Drosophila melanogaster: one gene and its partner. The protein of the gene in region 2 purifies or fractionates together with the protein of the main gene of each other region. This does not show direct contact. Each region holds a gene or a part of one and is shown on either strand. Other genes may lie near its edges. The genes, in order: CG10916 and CG13323.

The links.
Region 1: the proteins of CG13323 (region 2) and CG10916 purify together in Drosophila melanogaster (affinity purification with mass spectrometry, with the first as the bait; one large-scale study listed by BioGRID). This does not show direct contact.

Annotation. Positions count from the first base shown.
Region 1 is NT_033778.4:18,171,534-18,176,341, reverse strand, and holds CG10916 (uncharacterized protein), read right to left. Parts: upstream 2,674-4,808; 5' UTR 2,533-2,673; coding exon 1,741-2,532; 3' UTR 617-1,740; downstream 1-616. Other genes in the region: CG5726 (uncharacterized protein), read left to right, coding at 1-262.
Region 2 is NT_033778.4:13,043,992-13,049,044, reverse strand, and holds CG13323 (uncharacterized protein), read left to right. Parts: upstream 1-1,788; 5' UTR 1,789-1,828; coding exon 1,829-2,167; 3' UTR 2,168-4,350; downstream 4,351-5,053.

The DNA of each region.
Region 1 (4,808 bases), 5.1 Mb from region 2:
AAGCAGTTTGGCCAGCGAAGCGTCCAGCTCGTTTGATCGTCGCCAACAGACATCGCCACAAAATCCACATCAGCATCAGCACCAGCGGCACCGCCATTTCACACGCCGCTCCCAGCCAGACATCCATCAGCCGCAGAACGAGGAGAACTGGCAGGGGCAGGCGGATAAGGGCCAACCACCATCCGGAAAGGAGGAAAGCGAGCTGGTGCGGAATGCCCAGCAGACCACTCAGTACATGAACTATTTGTCGGCCCAGAAATGAGTTTATACACTTTACGAAGTCATCCACATGTACGAAAATTGTTTTTGAAGTCCGTTTAGAAGTTATTTGTTTCGCCTTCGTATATGTTTCCTAATGGATGTGTATATCCACGTAGACTGTTTTCACATTATTTTGTCTTCAACTGAGCTCAAATGTTAAACCAATACAAAACAATTTAGACCAATCACAAAACAAATCCATCTCAAATCCAGGCTTAAAGAATATTAAGCATGCATGCATTACACATTGGAGCCACTAAATTTGTAAATACCAATTATATATATATGAATGTCTTGTGTAGTCCCACACAACCACGCCACATAAACACTCCCACACAAAATACAGTCACACACACTCATTTTTATATTTATATATACAAATTGCTTAGAAACTAAGTACAAAGTCAATGAAAAAACAAAAATAATCCTATTTCTATTGAAAAGTAAAACGCCTGTTGGTGAAATGTTAAAAGCATGTTGAACATATAAAAATTTGTATTTTTAGCTAAATATATACTTATATATTAAATGTCATGTTATAGTGCAGGTTCAGCCGATTTATTAAACGAATTATACAAGCTTACGTATTTTTAAAGCAAATTTTGTGAGGCCCTCTGTTGGAACAACAAAGCCAAGCCGGAGTGCAGAGAAAAACATGAATTGTAGAGTTATACGAGTAGTCTTATATAGATACTTAAACCTCTTTGTTTAGGTATAATCAATATGTTCGCAACATGCGTAGGTTCAAAACACTAATCAGCATATAAATAGCGTCTAACACATTTTTAATAAAACAAAAAAATTGCATTATCATTAATCAAACATTAAAACAAATTCTTTTGAAAACTTTTGAAATCACCAGCAGAATGTCATAGTCTTACCTCCGTATTTACATCACCTGATTGGATGAATGTATTTTCCGAATCCTTGTGGGTGACTCCCCTCGTCTTCTGCGTTTCCACTTTCCAGAACTTCTGTGGGCAACTCTCGGTTGTGCATACTTTACAAAAGCGATAGTAAGAAAGCTTTAAGACCGCAGTTTTTATTAATCTTGCCATTTTGAAGACAGTTGGTCCGTTTTAGATACAATATACAAAAAACCAAGATTTCCGTTTATCGTAGGCATTGATCAAGTCAAGGTCAAAATATTTTTAAACCCGTGTCTAGTCACAAACATCTTCACTTTCCAAACTATTATAAAGAATTGCATACTTGAGGGCAGCAAATAGCAGACTAACTTATACATATGTATATGGGGACTTTTATTTGTACATAATTTGCTGGCAGTCAAAACAAAGTTATCAATTTTTCGCTTGATTAAAGAAATTGGGGACAAATCTTGGCTTACTGATAAGCGAATTTAAAACAAGTACAGAAATAATAGATCCGATTTTTTTCAAAAATAGAATAAGACGTACATATGTATTTATAACACAGATTCATACAATAAGGCATAAGAGATTTAAGATATCAGCAGCATCATCGATCTGCCTGGTCACGTGGGGTGACCACCAGGACTTCGTAGGTGTTTACGCTCACCTCTTGACCATGATGCGGGATGTACATGACCTTGTGGGAAGGATGCACCTTGCCCAGACGCAGGATACCCTGGTAAAGACCACGACCCGTGTAGGTGACCTCACCCAGCTCGGAGTAGCCCGTGTTCAGAGCATCCCGCGGATATGTTCCATGCTGTCCGGGCACCCACTTGTAGTCACAGTCGTTGAGCACCAGGATCTCGACATCATCGGTCAGAGTTCGGGCGCTACAGCTGTGCGAACCGAAGGCAGCCTTCTTTTCCGGTACATAAGGAGCAGGCAGGAGATCGTCGTGGTAATATCCTCTGGCCACATACGTGGGCAGTCCGTCTTCGTTGGTGCCACACTGCACAGCTCCCTCGGGCGGCAGGTGGGCATCCGGTAAGCTGTCTCTGTCCAGATCAATGGGCACCCAATCCATGGCCACCTTGGGCAATTCGGTGTCATCGAACTCCGGGGCCTCGGCGAAGTTTAGGTACAATCGGTGCACGCGTCGTCGGTCGCATGGGTCTCTGCATTGGGGGCAGGTCCTGGACCTATTCAGCCATCGGGTGAGGCAGTCCTTGTGGAATACATGACCGCACCGTGAAGTTGAGAAAATTATGTCGTTGGCCCGGAAAAACTCGTTGCAAATTGCACATAAAATGTTCAGTGAAGGTGATGAGTCATTTGTGGGTGCAGTTTCTGCGATTTTTCCGCCGTTACCTTCCATTTCACTACTATTACTCTCCATAACTACGTCCCTATGGATACTGAGCTTTGAATATGTGTGGCTCTATTCTTCTGTTCCAAATTTATTTCACAACAATGAGCGGAAAACGAAACGATTCGTATCAACTTTCCTGCTTTATTAGAGATGACCTCTGGAGAATACCAAATATACTAGAAATACTGTTATTTTAATAAGTTTGAATCTTGATTGAAAATAATCCTTTAAATATCTTATAGCATTAAGTAAGTAACATTTATATTAAGTAACATTTATATTAGCGTCTTAATCATAACTCTATTTTGGCTAAGATAATGTACTGTGCTATCATTTTGTGGTTATCTACTGGATCTTTACTTTGTATTAAAGTAGCGTTTCAAACCTGCACCAGTACTTCGTTGGTGCCAACGTTAACCTCTTGACCGTGCTGCGGGATGTACATGACCTTATGGGAAGAATGTACCTTGCCCAGACGCATGATGTCCGTCCTCGTTAGTGCCGCACTGCACTGCTTCCTCGGGCGGCAGGTGGGCATCCGATAAGCTGTCTCTGTCCAGATTCATGAGCAGAGGGTGCTCGGGAAAATCCCTGTTATTCTTGTGAGTCAGAGGACAGGCTTTTAACCGGGTACTTCTGCGAACAAGTTCGTCGTGAATGCACCTGTGGCCCATTGTCTGTTCGGGAATTAGTTTCCGAATCCGGTATGGCGATGGGTCATTTGTGGGTGCTTCTCAATTTTCCATTTCTTTGCTGTTACCATCCATATCTGAATCCCTTTACACACTGAGCTTTAAATACGTATGGCGCACTTGTTTTATTTTAAAATTAACGGATACGAGCTTTATAGAGATGGACTTTAAGTAGTGCCAGAAATACTGTTATTTTTATATTTCGTAAGTTTACATGGATCTCAAACGCTTATAACATTTAATTTCAAACTTTTTGCTAATATTTAGGTCTCAAGGTTTCAGAACAATTTTGTTTTATTTTGTTATAGATTTTTACTAAATAGACTAATTAAAGTGTATGCCAGTTGTTAAACAAATGTATTTCATAATCAGGAAGTCAAATATGTAATGTATATATATAATAAATTTGGATTTTATAGCTAAAAACTAATAAAAGGTTCACCTGTGCTCAATAATAGTTTCAAATACTGTTCAGGTCATTTTTAACACAAGAATTTATAAATATTTAAAATTAGCTATCGATAAGTGGCACCAGGTACTTACGATACTCAACCGATCTGGCAACGACGCGCGGTACGTGGCTTCGGGACACGGAAAACAATTTTACGGGAAAAGCTAAACAAATTATGTACAATTCGCAATAAATCCGAAAAGATATAGGGACAAACACCAGACGGAGAAGAGGAGCACAAAAGGCTGCATGAACTGTAAGTGCCAAGGACCAGATACCCGTTTCTTTTTCTGCGTTCACCCGTATCCTTTCACTTTTAATTGCTAAGTTCAACATACAACTACAAATGGATATTCAGCTGATTTACAGCTAGTGCGGTTTCTCAATGGCTCAAATTATGTTTCCCAAACTTGCCGCCACTCCAATGGAAACAAGTTAATGTGCGCATAATATGCAAATTTTCTGTTTGTTTTGGTTTGCCAAAATACAAACAATACATACATATGTACGCAAGTACATAGTACATATCTATGTTTGGCACACACACTGACGCATTAACTGCGCTCTTTGTTTGCCGCCTATAAATAAACGCCAAAAAATGCGTACGAGATTATGCCATTTGTTGCTTTTCAGCTGTGCTTTGCGTACGTCAACAAAGCTTTATTATATAAACAAATACAAAACGGCAATCAGCTGTTTCTAACAAAAAATAAACGGTTGAATAGCCTTGTCATTATCATTGTTTATTGTGCTTTGCCATAGATATATGTATGTATGTACAATGGCCATTTCACTATTAAACGAAATTATTAGAACGGCTAATTAAACTCTCTATCTTTGGCTCTCTTGTGTCTTCTTCCAAGCCCCTCTTTTGAGATATGCACATAATTGACGCAAATATTGCATCATGCGTTTCGAGGATTCCCCTCATTTATTTCACTATATGTATTCATTTGCAGTATTGCTTAAATATGTTTTGAATAATTAAGTTACGAACGTTTAAACAAATAAAATCATTATATATGTATGTATATTCGTGCATATTCTAAAGAAAAAGAATTAGGGAATTCTTGCGATTTCCTGGAACTCTCTTCCTGCGCTCTCTTCGTTCACTCTCTCTCTTCGGAGAACGGAGCTAGAACGACTATAGCACCATGCGA
Region 2 (5,053 bases):
TGCGCTTGTTGTTTTTTTTTCTGGTTAGGTTCTTATCGTTATGTTACTGCTTACCAGACTTGCTAGAATTGCACGTATATAGAAAATTTACAAACATTTGCACCTTTAATTCGAAACCTAATTCTGTTAGATACAACTTTTTCTTGTAGTGTATGTCTTTCATGTTCGGGTGAGTCCACAACAAATTGCTTATCAAGCGAGCGCATGTAGCAGCCAAACTGAAATGGGGGGGCCCAGCAAGGCCAAAAGCAGCCCTTAATTTGGCCAATTTAAAAATGGAAATCGATTCCCCCGAGAGTCGGCGATGTGTCAATAAAATGTGATTAACAAGTTGCTGCACAAAATGCCAGCACAGACTGCAATCGGATAATGGCAATGGCAGTGGGTACAAAATGCTTCGCCGACATTCCCTCAGGCATTTCTGGCTGCTTTGTATCTTTCAGTTGTCATTGTGGGGTTCCTTTTCGGTTTTTTGTTCTTTTTTTTAGGGGGTGGTGGGTGGAGGGGTGGGGGGTAGCAAACATCCTGGGAGCGTGGCGAATTATCCCTTTCATAAGTGACAAATACGTCCACCCTCATCAGCCACGGCTGCTGCAAGTAATGAGATTTTATTCCAAACCAAGTGACTGCTAGCCGTGGTAATTCGCAATAAATATGCAGCCAGGATGAGACCAGCAGCTCGATTTGTGTGTCAGGCGATAAGGATGCCACCCCCCAAGGATCGCGGTGGAGCTGTGATTCCACGAATGCATTCCGTAGCAGATTAACCAACTCCACGAACGCAATGCCACCGGCATGAATGGAATAATCTCTGGACTTAATTAAAGTAGCTGCGAGTTCCAGTTCAAACAATGCTAATGACAGCAGGCAGCTTAAGTTGGATTACATTAGGGATGATTAAAAGTTCGCTATTCGACACTTTTGTGGGCAAAAGGCGATGCGTCGTGAGGAATGTCCGACGTAATCATGGCTTAAATCGACAGACACTTGTCTTGGCCATGTTATAATTTCAATGAATTCTCCATCAGCCAAGCCTTATGTTGCTCGTATAACTCACAATTTAATTACTTAGCCATAATTTAATTGCTTATGCATTCACATTCCTCTCTAGTTGATTAATCAATATACAAAACTATTGACAGCTTCAGAAAGTTTGGTTCGTTGCCAATTTGCATATATTGGCTTACATTAGATTATGGATTATTTATAGAGCAAAGCATTTCGATTTTGTTTGCCAAACTAATGAGTGAAAATTTGTCAGTGCAAGCCACTTGATGAGAGTTTCGAGGAAAATCAATTTCTGACTAATAACTGAATGTATCGCATTCGATTGTTTTTTCTATGGAAAACTTTGATTAGATGGCCCTCGGTAACTTTAGAAGTCCGAGTGCTACCAATCAAGACCCAGTATCTATAAGTTGAAATCTGCAGCTGAGATTTCTTTCCGATCTTCAATTCCTGTATGGAGGGCTTAGCGTTCGGTGATAAGCCCGCCAAATCTTTTCCTAGAAGGCTGGCCAAAAACTTTAGAAGCCACCTTGTTTTGCACAACCGCTGGCGTGAGTCAGGTAATCTTATCGCGGCCACTTGATTGCCGGGGGGTTTCGTATACCTTACTTTCGTTTCGCGCTATTGGGCCTTTTTTGCCAGACTCTCGCCCCCATGCCCCACCTCATGGGCTGCGATAAGTCCGCCCTGTAACAGAAGTTAATTAAAAGCGAAGCGCTTTTGTAAACATTGCCTTAGTCATGCGAAGCGATATAAAAGCTTGGCCATTCGCAGCAGTTACTATCAAACGATACAAGAACGTCGAAACGAAACATTCAACATGCGTCTTCTGCTCATCCTCTCAGTTGTCCTGGCCGTGATCCTTGGCTGCCACGCCTACGGCGCCACCTGGGGGCGTCGCAATAACAACGACTACCTGCTGTCCCGCACCACGGAAGTCCGCAATCCGATCAAGAACAACTACTGGAACGTGAACGTGAACTATCCCGCCGGATTCTACAACATCTCCGCCGTGATCGTCTACGACAACTTTAAGAACAACTCCGGCGCATCTCCTAGCCTCTATTCCGGCGGTCCGGGCTATCGCTTCGCCACCGTGAATCTTCGTGGTCAGGTGAACCGCGGAATCAACTCCACCGTCGAGATCTGGGGTCGTTAAGTGATCAAACGAATCTGTTATAACCGACTGAAAGTCGCTGGGATATCAACTGAAACATGTTTCTTACGCAACTCAAAGCTAAATCCTCAATCTTAACAAATAAAAGAATACAGTAAAATACATACATATATATGGCAGTATTAAACAAGGCGCTTTTTTCATTAATTGCAAAAACCTTAAACCAACAGCTTTTAATACCAATAAGACTGTGTTTCTGAAGTAAACAAAATAATTTCCGGCTTACCCACGTGTATCTAATCAGTTAAAAAAGCAAGTTCACTTTTTTATTAACAAATGGCTTATAAGTAAATATAAAAGGCGGAATTGATATGTAAAAAAAAGGCAATTATCAAGATAAAGTAGACATGATAGTAAATATTTAATAACAAAAAAGTTTGCCCTTAACAGTTCAGTGCACAAAGTGAAAATCGCCAAGAGTCTATCATATTCAAACATAAATCGGTGGTTATCTTTATCAGTGTGTGCTGTCAATGGGAATAGCATATTGATGTATCTATATCTGCCGGACTTTGCATAATCGCATATTAGCCTTGGGCCAATCCCCAAAAACTCCGTGCAAGTTTAGAATTTTCCCTTGGATTCTGCCCGGCACAAAGGATGAAAGTGGAGCGCCCGAGGAAACTTTTCCTTTTTGCCCGCCAGAGGCATAGTCATCTAGCAAAGGAAAACATTCAATATTTAATAAACATCAGTGAGTGTGTGTAGGTGTGTGTGTTGGCAAGAGTAAATCGAAATTAAGGCTGGGTATAGGACTACTGGCCACAAATCCTGTGAGGCCCAGACAGACTGTTAAAAGGGCTAGAGGGCTTAGCCAGCACAAAAAGAAAAAAAAAAAAGATGCCAAAGAAAAAGAGGGAAACTGGAGCCCAGCGAAGGGGCGACAGACTTATTGGCCTTGGCTCATTTGATTCCCGGGGATGGTGTAAAATTTGTATTTCGAATTGCCAAAAGCAGCCCCAAAAAAAAAACCGAAGGGGGGTCGATATGTTAAGCTGCACGGTCAAAAGGATGTGCCGCAGTCCCTTTTCTCTTTTCTCCGCTTTCCTATTTCCGTAGTTTATGTATCGAATTTAAATTTCAATTTTAAACGTCTTGAGGCTACAGATTCGGATAGCTACCTCCCATCCGCCATTCGAGGTGGCGGTAAACATTTGCACAGGGTGCACAAATGTTTGAAAAGTTGTCAACGAAAATGTTTCACTTAGTTAATATGCAAAGCGCGGCCGTTCGGCTGCGATGCAAAGCCCCGGATCCGGATATGTTTACGGATACGGCCACGGCTTCGACTACGGCTACGGATACAGCTGGCGGTTGTGATTCATCCCCCCCCCCCCCCCGCCAAAGGGAAAGTCGTTCGATAAAAAATTGCCCCCCAAAAAGTCACGTAACTGCAGCAGCAGAGAGAGAAAAGCAGCAGCAGGAGATGGTGCATCCGAATTCGATTTGTCCTGCTGCTCTGTGTGCTGTGTGCTAACTTTAAGAACTGCCAAATGCGACTGCCGAATTTCGCTTCCGGGCGCATTCACTTGACATTCCTCATACGCCGCGTGGCCGTCACAACGAAATGCCCAACGTAAGCCGCTTGCCGGCTAAGCTGACCACTACATCGGTGTCCCCGGGTAACCAGCCTGCCACACACACACACACACACACACACTCCCCCACTTCGGCACTCATCCAGACGCCAGGACCTTGTGTCCTGCCAGCTCCACTTACCCCTCTTCCCCCTTTCCCATCTAGCCATCAGCGGCAACAGCTTGCCGAGCAATTACTTCGGACTGCCCGGAAATGTCGACCGAAAACCAGCAGCGACAGCAATGGCAGCTGCTTGGAACAGCTCCTGCCGGAACCCCACCGCCTTCGGTCTTCCCCCACGCCCCCACTCGCTTTTGGGGGTGTGGCATATGTCTGGCGCTGCAAGGACAAGCGTCGGCATCTGCTTACACTGGCCGCTGTGGCTGTGGAACATCGAAAATACCCGCCTCAAATGGGATTTCAATTAGCAGCAACTGTCTCACACCAGCCGGCGATTGTGTTGTCCAGTGTTGCGGCTCACCCTGCCACGTGGACAGGACACTGCCGGGGTGCACAGATAAAAATGAAGTCCAAATGGGGTCCTATCATTACAACCTCTTTTGCAGGTTAAAGATAGTAACTTGAACTGGTTTAACTATCTTAATGGCAGTGAAATATAAAAGGGAGCACTATTTTAATATTGAATTTAGTGAATTTATACCTTGCAGGCATATAAGTTGATTATTAAATTGACTTTAAACTTATAAACTTTTTTATATATATTAAATAAATACTTTTAAATCTTCAAAGAGAAATATGAAAAGTGCAATTTTGTTAAAATGAAATACCTGTCGCCCGAGGGATATGTTTTCGTGTATGTATAGGTAAGCTAAAAAAATATTATTTTCATAAGATGACACATGTTTTCTTGCAGTGTGGCCGGGGTTTGTGGCAGGTGGTGTCCTAGGGACACGACATAAAAGGGTGTCGGACAGGCTGTTAAGGCTGCTGAAATTGCTGATTTGCTGTTGCTGGCGTTGTCGCCGTCCATTGCGATTACGTTGGCCGGCGGTGGCCAGCAGCATTGATTTTTAATAAATAGCAATTTGGCAAACCAATCTGAGCTGTGATTATTTTAGCTGGCAGGTGGAAAAAGCATTTCAAATGTGCAGCGGACAAGGCCAAAAGGCTGCAGCTAATGTGCATCCCGCACACAGTCATCGGCCGCAGGAGCCTTTGGAAAAGGTAATGAAGTATTTATGATCGAGCTGATTGCATGCGGTGGTGGTGGTGGCGGTGGTGGGGTGGGGTGGGGAGTGGTGCTGGCAGGACATTCGGGACAGGTGAGGT